Linked DNA regions of Saccharomyces cerevisiae S288C. Each later gene encodes a partner of the first gene's protein in a complex. Each region holds a gene or a part of one and is shown on either strand. Other genes may lie near its edges.

Evidence for each region. The genes of interacting proteins can lie anywhere in the genome.
Region 2: RPL17B (region 1) and RPL12A share a complex: the UniProt entries of both Saccharomyces cerevisiae proteins name them as parts of the large ribosomal subunit.

The regions. Positions count from the first base shown.
Region 1 is NC_001142.9:88,185-92,157, forward strand, and holds RPL17B (60S ribosomal protein uL22 RPL17B), read left to right. Parts: upstream 1-2,601; coding exon 2,602-2,910; intron 2,911-3,227; coding exon 3,228-3,473; downstream 3,474-3,973. Other genes in the region: ATP synthase complex assembly protein ATP12, read right to left, coding at 1-376; PFD1 (prefolding complex chaperone subunit), read left to right, coding at 603-932; ATG27 (Atg27p), read right to left, coding at 1,098-1,913; SWI3 (Swi3p), read right to left, coding at 3,869-3,973. UniProt on the Saccharomyces cerevisiae protein: Component of the ribosome, a large ribonucleoprotein complex responsible for the synthesis of proteins in the cell.
Region 2 is NC_001137.3:47,339-56,457, reverse strand, and holds RPL12A (60S ribosomal protein uL11 RPL12A), read left to right. Parts: upstream 1-3,239; coding exon 3,240-3,737; downstream 3,738-9,119. Other genes in the region: MAK10 (Mak10p), read left to right, coding at 356-2,557; POL5 (DNA-directed DNA polymerase), read left to right, coding at 4,919-7,987; HAT2 (Hat2p), read right to left, coding at 8,085-9,119. UniProt on the Saccharomyces cerevisiae protein: Component of the ribosome, a large ribonucleoprotein complex responsible for the synthesis of proteins in the cell.

The DNA of each region.
Region 1 (3,973 bases):
TGCATCTTGCCACTAATGAAGTTAGTGGCAAAGAGTGAGTTTTGATGGAAAGACTGGATAGGGACGACCACTCCAGTTTTAATAGGTATGCTAAGAGAGACTTTGCATTATCAACTATAATTCCATTTCCTAGAGGAGTTTTTATAGTCCTGCCATCTAATTGTAGAGCAATCTTTCCTTTCTCAACATCCCTATTTAGTGACACCTTTTCCCAAAACTTCTGTGAAGTTTTGCTCAATCTATTTGTTTCCGTAGGAGTGTTATTCTCAATCGTGTTGTCTGTCCCCAGTGGCTGGGCATTTAATGAGTAGAATCGGGGCAGTTTCAATCTTATGGAATTCACAATGAAGCATCCCTTCCTTAATGATGGCAGCATTCCGTATTCTCTTTTGTAGGGTTTCGTTTGCCTTCAAGTGTTTTGTTCTTATTTAGCCTTTTCCTTTACCTTAATTTTTTTCTTTTCTCTGAAGAAAATGAATGAGTTTAAAGATATAGCAATTAAAAAGTAACAGTGAAGAAATTTCTCAGATGAGCAGATGGGAATTAAAGAACTATCTACAGAGCTCTTTACTAAATTGAATCAATAATACATACTTACAAACATGTCACAGATAGCACAAGAAATGACAGTGAGCTTAAGAAACGCCAGGACACAATTGGATATGGTCAATCAGCAGCTAGCATATTTGGACAGACAAGAAAAGCTTGCTGAATTGACAAAGAAAGAACTAGAGTCTTATCCAACGGACAAAGTATGGAGATCTTGCGGTAAATCGTTTATCTTACAGGATAAATCCAAATACGTTAATGATTTATCACATGACGAAACTGTTCTTCTGGATCAAAGAAAAACATTAAAGATAAAGAAGAACTATTTAGAAACTACTGTTGAAAAAACAATAGACAATCTAAAGGCATTGATGAAGAATTAAAAGAAAGCGGCAATAGCCTTTCCTTTCTTAGCCGGAAAACTTACTACGGGAACAAGTTTTTTTTATTAGTATAATGTAGATATAAAAGCTTAGAGTTTATATAAATATAATAAAAGGTTAGCACTGCTGTTGCAAAAATATCGAATTGTAAGCCAGTAAACTTATTTAAACGGCGCTATAACCGCCTCTTTGGGCGGTACTTCTGCCTAAGATTCTCGAAACCACTTCCTTGCAGAATTCAGGTAAGGAAGTGAGAAATTGAGTAGAACGTTGAATGAACTCAGCACGGAAATCTTGAAAAGAGCCTCCTCTGGTATTCAAGAATGATACAACCATCAGGTATATCAATGTAAACAGTAGAGCGTATAGGAATAACCAAGTGAACCACGAAGTCCCGCCTGCCTTCTTAGCTGGCTTTTTCCCCTCGCTGTCACCATCCTTACCATTATCGCCGTCGCCATTTTTTTTGTCATCATCTTTGCTCTTCAAACAGCCAGATGGCCCTTTTAGGGTCAATTGGATACTTTTATCGGCCCATGTGTGACTAGTCAGCTCGTCTTGTTTCATATTGTCATTACACTGAAATTCTAGTTTTGCGTCAAAAGAATTGGCGCCCCACGTAGCGCCTTTTAGTGTCAATGTAAGCGCACTCTCAGTTTCCTCGACATTGAAGCCAATGTTTTTGTCAAAATCTATAATTTGAGTGGTGATAGCATCCTTACCGGGCAAGATGACATCTGTTAAACCACATAGCATGTCATTTTTTTTACATTCTTCAGGAGGTTCTACGTTATGCTCTTCGCAAACGTTTATCCACCACTTTTCAATAGTTGTGCTTGGCGGAGTATCCCTTTCCGTAGAAGTTAGTGAGCTAAATTTTCCCACCTGATACTTTTTCAATACATCATGCTTCTCGCAGGACAAGGCCTGTACCACTGTAATTATACTGATGAAGCCACATATCCAAGTCTTCGATACCATCGTGAAAGCTTTCCTTACCTTTATCTATCGCATCGATTGAAGATCTCAGATATAAATCTACAGCAGACTAATATGCCACTAACCTCTTGAAAACCCGTCGCTTACGAAAAAGAAGGAAGACGGAAAAAGGACGGCATCCTTTTCAATTTGCACCTGGACATTCTCACCCATACATGGCCTTGTTTTTTTTTTAACTGAAACTTTTTTGGCCGTTTTTGAGGATATGATATTTCTATGTCGGAGAACAAAAGTAGGCGTGGGAAGTGAAGCTCTTTCGCTCTTTCTGTGATGATCTCCTTCCAGCTAGGCTCGGTTCGACCCTGAGGTCTGCCCCTAGCTCCTTCCTATTCCAAACGGAATACCAAATGTCCAGCCCGTGACAATGCAGCAGGGTGGCTAATTTTTCATCCAGAGTTTGCAGAATGTTGGTTCTCACAAACTCAGAGAGAATTGGCGGATGATGGGTAACTGTGAGAGGAAGTGTCTGGATTTGATCGTATTTGTTAAATTCATCAACACCTTTTATGCAGAGGTGTAGTAGTGTAGGTAGCCCTTAGTAATTGGTGTTTATTATTGTCTATATAGAAATTTCTTTTTAGTGTAGCTTGTACTCTTTCCCTGCATTATTTTTGTTTTATTGACTTTTGTCTTGGTGAATCAAAAAATTAACGAAACGAACAAATTTAAAATGGCAAGATACGGTGCTACTTCAACCAACCCAGCTAAATCTGCGTCAGCTCGTGGTTCTTATTTGCGTGTTTCTTTCAAGAACACCAGGGAAACTGCTCAAGCCATTAATGGTTGGGAATTGACTAAGGCTCAAAAATACTTGGACCAAGTTTTGGACCACCAAAGAGCCATCCCATTCAGAAGATTTAACTCCTCTATTGGTAGAACTGCCCAAGGTAAGGAATTTGGTGTCACCAAGGCTAGATGGCCAGCTAAATCTGTTAAGTTCGTTCAAGGTTTGTTGCAAAACGCCGCTGCCAATGCTGAAGTATGTTTAAAATGAAAATATGAAAAATAAGATTGAAAAATAATAATGATGTGTTGACGGGAGATGATAAAGTATTAGAATATGTTCATATGTGTTGCATCCTATTTTCTGCATGAATGCACGATTCGAAAGAGCTAAAATTAACAGTTTTCCAAATGAAAGAGAAAAGAAATAAAGAAGAAATGGGACATGCAAAAAGGAACTATGGATACCTATTAAGCGTATAGCATAGTGTTTTCTAATCTTATTTTTTCTTACACTACGACTTTAAAATTTTTACTAACAATGAATTACTATTAATTTTCTTTTTAAAACAGGCTAAGGGTCTAGATGCTACCAAGTTGTACGTTTCTCACATCCAAGTTAACCAAGCACCAAAGCAAAGAAGAAGAACTTACAGAGCCCACGGTAGAATCAACAAGTACGAATCTTCTCCATCTCACATTGAATTGGTTGTTACCGAAAAGGAAGAAGCTGTCGCCAAGGCTGCTGAAAAGAAGGTTGTCAGATTGACTTCTAGACAAAGAGGTAGAATTGCTGCCCAAAAACGTATCTCTGCTTAAATGCTTTTTTAATTTTAAAATCTTTTAAAGTGAATATTTGATTTATATACTACTATATACTAATTTGTTTAGGCCAATACACAGAATCAAAATCAAACTAAGAACAACACAGAACAAGAAAAATAACTTTTGATAAAGGCTCTTTTAAATAAAAAAAATAGAAAAAATAGAAAATAACACAATTATAGATATATATCTACATGTACATAACATGTCTAGTCGAATCTAGAGAAATGGGATAAAAATCAGAGAGAAGCCAAGTCAAGTGACGCACCATTAAAGAAATGAACCTAGAAGAAAGAAAATAAGCAAAAATATAGAGCGAAACAAAATAGAAAGTGTTACTAATGAAGAATAATTACAACAAAAACAAAAATGATCTCCATGTGTCATTGTTATGCCGACCAATACCTGTAAAATTGAGGTGCTTCAATAGAAATGGGTTTGACATCATTCTCGTTAGATATACTTTGGCCATTATGGTTTTCACCTGTTTCAAT
Region 2 (9,119 bases), on another chromosome or scaffold:
CGGAGATTCCCGTTATTACCTTACATATCGAAATATGACCCATAAAAGATGTGTAAAATTACGTAAGACAAAGGAACTCGGCACACCTATTGAATAGGTAATAGTGGAATCAGGTGCCTAAATAAATGAATAAGAGTACTGTATTATCTAGTAGTTGTTATATTATCTAACCTTTACATAATACGATTATTTCACATTGTTATGTTTTCGGGTAATAATTATGAGATGGAGTGAAATTTCACGAAGAGATACAAGTAAAATAGCAGCTCTTCAATAGCAAGAAGAGTGGCGCTGAGATTGAAAACAACTGTGCTAGTGTAGAGCAACTTTGATAATAGCTGGTACGTTTCCGAGAATGGAAGTAGACAGTATATTAGGTTCCTTGAGCATAACTGATGATTTTGACCAATTGGTTGACGTCACAAGTCTGTTTGATGAATTGTGTTCAAAACTAAAACCAGAGGCTATCGTGAAAGATCCCAGGTTTGATTTGTTCGAGGGTACACATTCTTTAGAGGTCAACAACTCCAAATTAGACTCCAGTCTGATAGAATTGACAGCAGAAGAAATAGAATTTGATGTGAACGTGGCCTACGATCCACCGTTGGCAAGTGTAGCAGCCATAGCGGATAGATTACTTAGATGTGTTATCTCCTGGCTGAATGACTACCAGACTTTACCCACTACTGTATTAAGCTGCAGGTATACAGAAAGCTTATTATCGTCATTAGTTAAGGGAACAACTGCCGGTTCGTCCTGGTGTACAGGGAATATTTTGTATGATAAAGTACTAGGAAGTTGCATACTTGGCGTTTGTTATTTAACAAAATTTGTGCAGAAACTCTTGAGTGCTGGTATTGTTTTTGAAGAGGAGGATTTAAATTTTAATAACATGGGGTTTAATACATTCGATAATTTGCCGGGGCAAGATGTTGTTATCAATTCTCTCACCGAGAGCCTTCAGATATTAGAGGCATATTCTGATGATAGCTTACATTTAACTATGCTGAAGCATATACTAAAAATTATCATTTGCTTAGTCCACTTAGAAGACCATCTGACAGACTATTCCACAAAGACAAGCCACCTGGATGAGCTAATTGAAAACGCTAACTCGGTTAATGGCATATTTCCACAATTACAGCTGTCTCCACCAAAGGGTGCGTTCTCAACATATATACAAAAGCACAGGTCTAATCAATTCCCTCCCAGGAAGATTACGAAGTTACCGACGGATTACAGCGGCTTTATTACACTGGCAAATGATGTTAAAACAATACTCCTTGTAGATAAAGCCGAGTCTGCGTTGGAGACCTACCAGTTTGCCAAATTCTTCAACAAGTTGGAACAAAGGCATGTCATTGCAAGGATCTTATTCCCCTTATTTTTCATTAGAGACGACAGAACAGTTTTGGGTAAATTTTCATATACCCAATTTTATTTGCTACATGTCAAGGAGTTTTCAGCACAAACTCCATCTGAATTTGAATCCTCTATTGGTAATGAACTTATCCAAGAAAGCTCTAATATGCTTTTAGAATGGTACCAAAACTGCTCCCAAAACACATGTAGATATAGACAAGGTTTTAACAGGCAACTTATTCTATGGGATTCTCTTCAAGCCCAGTTTGAAAGTGTCAATTCACAAGTTTACTGTTCGTGGACATATTTTATGAAACTATCAAGTATGATCGAATTCTCTTTAAAGGGGTTTGATTTGGATATTTACAAACCCTTTGAAGCATACTCTATGTTTTGGTATGTTTATTATTTAAGTCACCACTTAGAAACCTTTTTGAAAGATAGTCAAAATGATATTGAATCAAATATTAATGCCATTCATTCCATGAACAAAAAACTTAAAAAATTGAAAGCTGGTGAAAAGAAGGACCAATTGAGGCTAAAGTACAGGTTTGCTATGGATAATGAAATGGAACAATTACAAGCTACCAAACAATTTTTAAACTATCTTTTGAAGGAAATTAACATTACCAAATCTTTATGTCTAATAGAGGTTTTCCAATTTGCAATTTTAAAGTCATTTGGTTTAATTGACAACAAGAATAGTACTCCGTCAAAATTCTCTAATGAACGGTTAATCCATAATTTGAGATTCAAGCCATTTAATTCAATTGGTGTTCCTGAGTTACCAGAATATGAAGTATTTCAACAAACTTTAAAAGATTTTGTCATTGAAGAAAAAGGAGCTGCATTTGATATAAAGTTAGAAAGGGCCACTAACTTTATCGAAACTGAAGTGCGCAATGTCGTTAGTTCTATTGATGAGATAATGCAAGGAATCAAGGGAGGCGATAATAACGGCGTTCTAGTAACAGGAACAAGACTGGTTCAAGAGCTCTCTCTGGAGTACTATTGTAAACTAAAACATACTTCTAAAGCATTATCAGTCAACTCAAAAGTTATCGTCAACACTTTGAAAAAGAACATTAAAAACAAGGACTCCCACGAATACAAGGTTGAATTAGTTCATACAACAGAAGGATGGAACTATTTCCCCATACAAACATTGAGAATAAAGCAAGACCGCTATAAATAATCTGGAATTTACCCTAACTGTACAAAATATATTTAGCATTATATACCCGCTATTTAATTATTATAAAGGAGACCTTTATACTCAAACAAATGAAGCCACCTTATGCCATTATCCCATTCGTACCAGTCTAAAACAAGATAAATACCCTGTTTAACATCCGAACACCAAATATGTGTGGGTGTCAAACAAAGAGACAATGTAATGAGACAATGTACTGCTTGTAAACTATAACAGTATCAGCTCAATTTCAATGCCATCTACTCCAGATATCGTTGCGATTGTACCTACAAGCCGCCTACAACGGCGTTATTGTTGTAAGCTGGTAAAATGCAGTGCGTTCCCCCGTTGTGAGTTCGGGCCAAACTTACTTGGCTGGGAGTTCCGTCCGTACAGTTGTGGCTTGCTGCCTAGACTTAGGCGGACGCGGCGGCAATTACTCCTGGGCTCTCCCTAGAGCTGGAGAGACACTCTTGGTAACCGAAGGGAAAATCCCGGAAGAAAATTTGGAATCCGTTAACACTGCTGGAAATGGACATCTCCTAATACTGAAAAAATTATTCAAAGTCTAGAATTTTGGTAAATTTCAAGGCTTCTTTGAGTTACAGTTCGTTACTATTACACCTTAAAGGAACTTTCTTTTGGGGTCTAGAAAGTCGACAACAAGAACAAAGGATATACAAAAATGCCTCCAAAGTTTGATCCTAATGAAGTTAAATACTTGTACCTAAGAGCCGTTGGTGGTGAAGTCGGTGCCTCCGCTGCTTTGGCTCCAAAGATTGGTCCTTTAGGTCTATCGCCAAAGAAGGTTGGTGAAGATATTGCTAAGGCCACCAAAGAATTCAAGGGTATCAAGGTTACCGTCCAATTAAAGATCCAAAACAGACAAGCTGCTGCCTCTGTTGTCCCATCTGCTTCCTCTTTGGTCATTACTGCTTTGAAGGAACCACCAAGAGACAGAAAGAAGGACAAAAACGTCAAGCACAGTGGTAACATTCAATTGGATGAAATTATTGAAATTGCCAGACAAATGAGAGACAAATCCTTCGGTAGAACTTTGGCTTCCGTTACTAAGGAAATCTTAGGTACTGCTCAATCTGTCGGCTGTCGTGTTGACTTCAAGAATCCCCATGATATCATTGAAGGCATTAATGCTGGTGAAATCGAAATCCCAGAAAATTAGAAAAAAATTAAAGAAAGTTTCAAAGCTTTTTAGTTTTTTTATTGTTTTTGTATTTTAATATGATAATTGCACAAAATTCCAATACGTTTATTTTCTAATTTTTGATTTCGATTCTAGGGTTATACTTTTTCTATCTGTTTTGTCTCTTCTCTTCCTCTCTGGATAACCACAATGAAGAGGATAAGTGACACATTATATTTCTATAATGTATTTCCGAAAATTATATCTGCATGTGATTATACCCTCCGTTTTTTTGTTTTTTCATTTTTATCTTTTTTTTTTTTTGCTTTTCACTTCATTCTTTTTTCTTACTTTGCTTTCCATGCTTGATTCTTTACTATTATTACTAACTTGTGAAATAGTTTTCTAATTTGCTTTTTATTAGAAAAGAAACCATCTTGAACGTTTGACAACACTCTGGGACCAAGTTTCGATGGTTATTTTTTTATTTCCATCGATGTCTTTCACTGTACTTAGTTCCAATTTATATTGCAAACAAGATTAATTTAGGCGATTACTCACTAAGATATACCTATTTCTACTATGGTTATATTAGTCCATTTCATAGCCTTACATTTTCTCTTAGTACGTACTCTCTTGGGATTGGTCTGTTACATTAGTTCGTAAACACTTGTTAATCGTTATAGTTGAGGGAGGGTATATCTAAATATCTGAACTTACTTCTGCTAATGGTTGACGACCAATAACTGATTCGAAAAGTGGAAACTTACAGTTCCTTCAAGGCTACTTTCAGATGCGCTGATGGGCGTGCTTGACACCCATCAGCTTTTCAAGTTATGTATACGTTAATTGCAATAATGAAAGGAGGAAAACAAAACCTTTCCTGCGTATGTATCTATGGGTCTGAGCAACTTCCCAACTTACTGGCTGCCTCTGCGGTAAAAACTATCAAAATATTATTTTGCATTGGTAAATATGATAGACCGGACATAAAATATCCGCAAAAGTAATAGTCTTCAAAATCAACGGACGCTATCATTTTACCCGGCCTTTAAAGCGTGAATAACACGAAAAATTTTATTGCGATGGCCAGAATTGCCTTAGAGGGCAATTTAACATTAATCTGAGGCTGCGGTTTGCACTTAATTCGAAGTTTGAATCGGGTATCCATTAACAAGGGTGATTCTTTCCACAAGTGCATCTTTTTGTCCACAAAAAAAATGACAGGGAAAGTCAACAGAGACCTTTTTTTTAAACTAGCTTCTGATCTTCGAGAAGAGCGTCTACATGCAGCTGTCGCATTAATAAAGGACTTATCCGCATTAGATTTGCCCGACGATGCAGAAGAATGGTCTTATGTATTGAATCGTTTAATCAAGGGTTTGTCGTCTGACAGAAATAGCGCGAGGTTAGGATTTTCTTTATGTTTGACGGAAGTAATCAATTTAGCTGTTAATATGCCACCAGGTCAACGACCAAAAGGTTTAGAATCAACGAACGAGTTCTTGAGCACCTTATCAACCATTTTGAACGTTAATGTCAATGAGGGAACAAAAAAATCCATGAAGGGCAAAGATGAGCGTGGAATTTTATTTGGGAAGTTATTTGGCTTGAAATCTCTACTAAATGAACCTTTATTCTCAGAAATATTTGTTAAAGATTTGGAAAAAGGAAACACCGAGTTTTTCATTCGATTCACGGAACAGCTAATTGATCTGGCCCTGAAGAAAAACTGGATCAAAGAACCATGCTTTTTTACCCTTTTCCAGACTATGAAAATGCTGCTACCTTTTATGGATGAAAGTTCCGCTGAAAAAATTCTTCTGATATATGATAAATATGACCTGACTCTGACAAATGAGGGACTGTCAACTTATTTGTTGCTGAAATATGAAGGTGATGAAAGTCTAATTCCCTCGGTGTTGGATTTGAAAAATCCAGGTTGGAAGGATAACGACCCTCTGGCAAGAGGAAATCTGCCCCTTTTAACAAAAGTATTGAGAAACTCTTCTGTAATTCCGGATGCCAATGGAGGTTTAAAAGAGACGAAAAAACAAAAAAACACGAATTGGAACCCTAGGCTGCATTTTGTTTGGAGTGTTCTGCTACCGTTGTTTGGTAATGGAAAATTAGAGAACACTAGTCATATTTCGAAGAAAAGGAAGAAAACCAACAATAAAAAGGTTCAGAATTCAATTCAATTTCCAGAGTTTTGGAAAATGGCCGTGGACGAATCATTTTTCAATGAGAAAGCTTCTAGTGAAAGAAAATATTTAGGCTTTCTAATAATCGACGCGGCTTTCAAGGCAGTTCCTGGCTCGTACATCGGGTTTTGCTTCAGCCAAAACGTTATGAGAACATTGATCAACCAATCAATAGATTCACAAAGAGTTTTAAATAAGATTTCCCAGTTAACTTTAGACTCCATAGTGAAGGCTTGTGAAGAAGATTCTGCAAACAGACTAGTACCTTGTTTAAATGCAATGTTATTTGGTCCTCACGGTTCCATAAACTTTGATAAGTTAACAAAATCTGGCACCGTTTCCAAACTTATTGCAATTAAAGAATTACCTTCTACTGTTCTTGCCCAATTACTCGATGTGTTTTTTCTACAGTTACAAGATAAAAAGGGAGTTTTATCTCATACCCTTTTTGCTCTTGATTCCATCCTTCATATAGTTCGTGCACACAAAGTCGAAATCAATGACATGGACATAATGAAGCCCGTGTTGAGACCCATCGTATATATGGCTTTCTTCAAACATACATCAGATGATCTGAAGTTAGAACAGCTACACGAATTAGCCAAGGAAAGACTTTATTCCATCCTGGGAGAGTTGACAATAAACAAAGAAATACGTTGCAAAGATCCTGAAATAAACTCATGGCAATATCTGACATTAAAGTTAATACTGGACATTGAAAATTCTCATGTAGGAGATTTAATCAATCCACTGGACGAAAATTTAGAAAATATAAAAAACGAAGCTATATCTTGCTTGAGTAAAGTTTGCAGATCAAGAACTGCTCAATCTTGGGGTCTAAGCACGTTGTTATCTATGTGCTTAGTACAATTATATGCAGGTGACACCGATTCTATTTCTGTGATCGAAGAACTTTGCGAATTTTCCAAACACGAGAATAACTCAATGGTAGGCATCACTGAAATCTTACTATCACTTTTAGCCCAAAAGAAGGCCTTACTCAGGAAATTGAGTTTAATAATCTGGCAGCAGTTTATTGAAGAAGTTGGTTTGGAAGAATTGCAAATTTTATTAGATATTTTAAAAGCGAGAGAAAACAAGCAAGGTTTTGCCCAGCTATTCGAAGGAGAAGAAGAATTTGAAGAAATTAAGGAAGAAAATGATGCCAGTGAAGACGAATCGAAAACTGGTAGTGAAAGTGAAAGTGAAAGTGAGAGTGATAGCGATGATGCTGATGAAAAAGATGAAGAAGACGAGGCAAATGAAGATATTTTGAATATTGATAAAGAGGCCACTAGCGCCTTAGTGAAGGCGTTAAATTTACCCGATAACATAGTTAATGATAAAGGGGAAGTTGACTTAGACCAACTCGAAGGGCTTTCTGACGACGGTGGAGACGATGAAGATGAGGAGTCTATGGATGATGAAAAAATGATGGAATTAGATGATCAGTTATCCGAAATTTTCAAACGTCGTAAGGAAGCATTATCAAGCATATCTACTGGAAACCAGAGGAAATTTGAGGTAAAACAATCTAGGGAAAACGTTATCTCGTTCAAGCATAGAGTTGTCGACATGTTAGCCGTTTACGTCAAATATTGTGAAAAATTGACTCTTGCTAATAAAAGTGAACATTCCAACAATTTAGGAGGCTCATTAAGCAAGCTCGTTTATTTTATTATCCCAATGCTGAAATGTGTCAATGAAACTCTTGATAGGCCACTTGCCGACAAAATTTCTAAATTGTTGAAGGGTAAAATATTCAAGATAAAAGTAACTGCATTCAAAGACATGAACAAAGACATCGAGCTTATGGATTTGTTGAAAAAAACACACAAGCTGATGCTGACTTCTAAGCCAGGTCAGCATGCTGCAGTGTTTTATTCAATGTGCTCAACCAGCTCACTGTTTTTGAGTAAGTTATACGTTGAAATCGGTGGTAACGACAAGCTTGACGAATTGATTGACTTGTATACTGCAACTACCAAAGAGTGGATGCAAAAAGGAAAATGTGGACCTAACATTTTTATTGATTTCATCAATTGGCTATCTTCAAAAAAGCAAACTGTAATGGATAAGGAATAATCTAAGTATATTTTATCACTCCTCAAAATCGGATTATGTATGTTGATCTTTGTTTAATTACGCCTTTTCGCCAAAGAAACAATAAAAAAACTATATATTAGCTTATTATATCCTTGTTCACCTTTGGTGGACCTCCCACGATGGGTAGACTATGGGAACACTTCCAAACTTGTAAAATATTTTCTTCTTCAGCACTTGCTACCAACCAAGGTATTTGAGGGTTCAAATCAAAATCATTCACTGAACTTCTGTGACCTGCGTGGACCATGATCAATTCAGGAACGCCGTCTTCCGCGTCATCAGGTGTTTGTTCTGCTCCAATTTGTTTCAAATCCCACATCATCAATCTATTGTCTGACCCGCTGGATACAACTACACCGTCAACATGGGTTGAAAATTCCAAATTGTTCACTGCATCTTCATGACCCGACATATGGTGTAATGGTTCCTTCATGTTTCTTAGATCATATAGATAAACATACGAGTCCATACCTGCGGCCGCAAGGAGGTTTGAGGAATGATGACTAAATGCTAATGTGTTGAAAGGTTGCGGGCATTTCACAGTATCGATCGTAGTATTGTTTGCCCTGACGTCATTTATTTTTAAGAGAGAATCTTCTGAAACAGTGCCGAATAGATCTTTATTGAAGTTGTGCCATTTATTATCATTAATAATATCAGAATGTAAATCATTCCAAGTTCGTACTGGTTTTGTAGGGTCACCGCCACTCCCCACTTCCCAGAGAGCGACTGTATGATCATCTGAGCCGGAAAGCAATCGCCCTTTGACCAAAGTGCTAAATGATAAAGCATAACCGTTATCCTTATGAAATTTTAGTGTTGACTGAAGACCTTCTGAGCGAGAATAGAGGAAAACTGTGCCTTGCCCATTTATTGTGGCGACAATATTAGGGTCTTGAGGCATATATCGGGCTCTAGTGATTTCTTCTTCGTGCTCATATTTAGCGGTAATCCTTATATTTGACCTAGGAGCAGGTAGAGAGGACTGATACTCCTCTCCTGCTTCTTCTTGTGGGTCTTCATTACTAAGAATTTCCTTTGGTAGATTAATTTCTGCGAATTTCAAATAGTTTTCTTCTTCACCAGAAGTGTGCGTACCGATGATTAATTC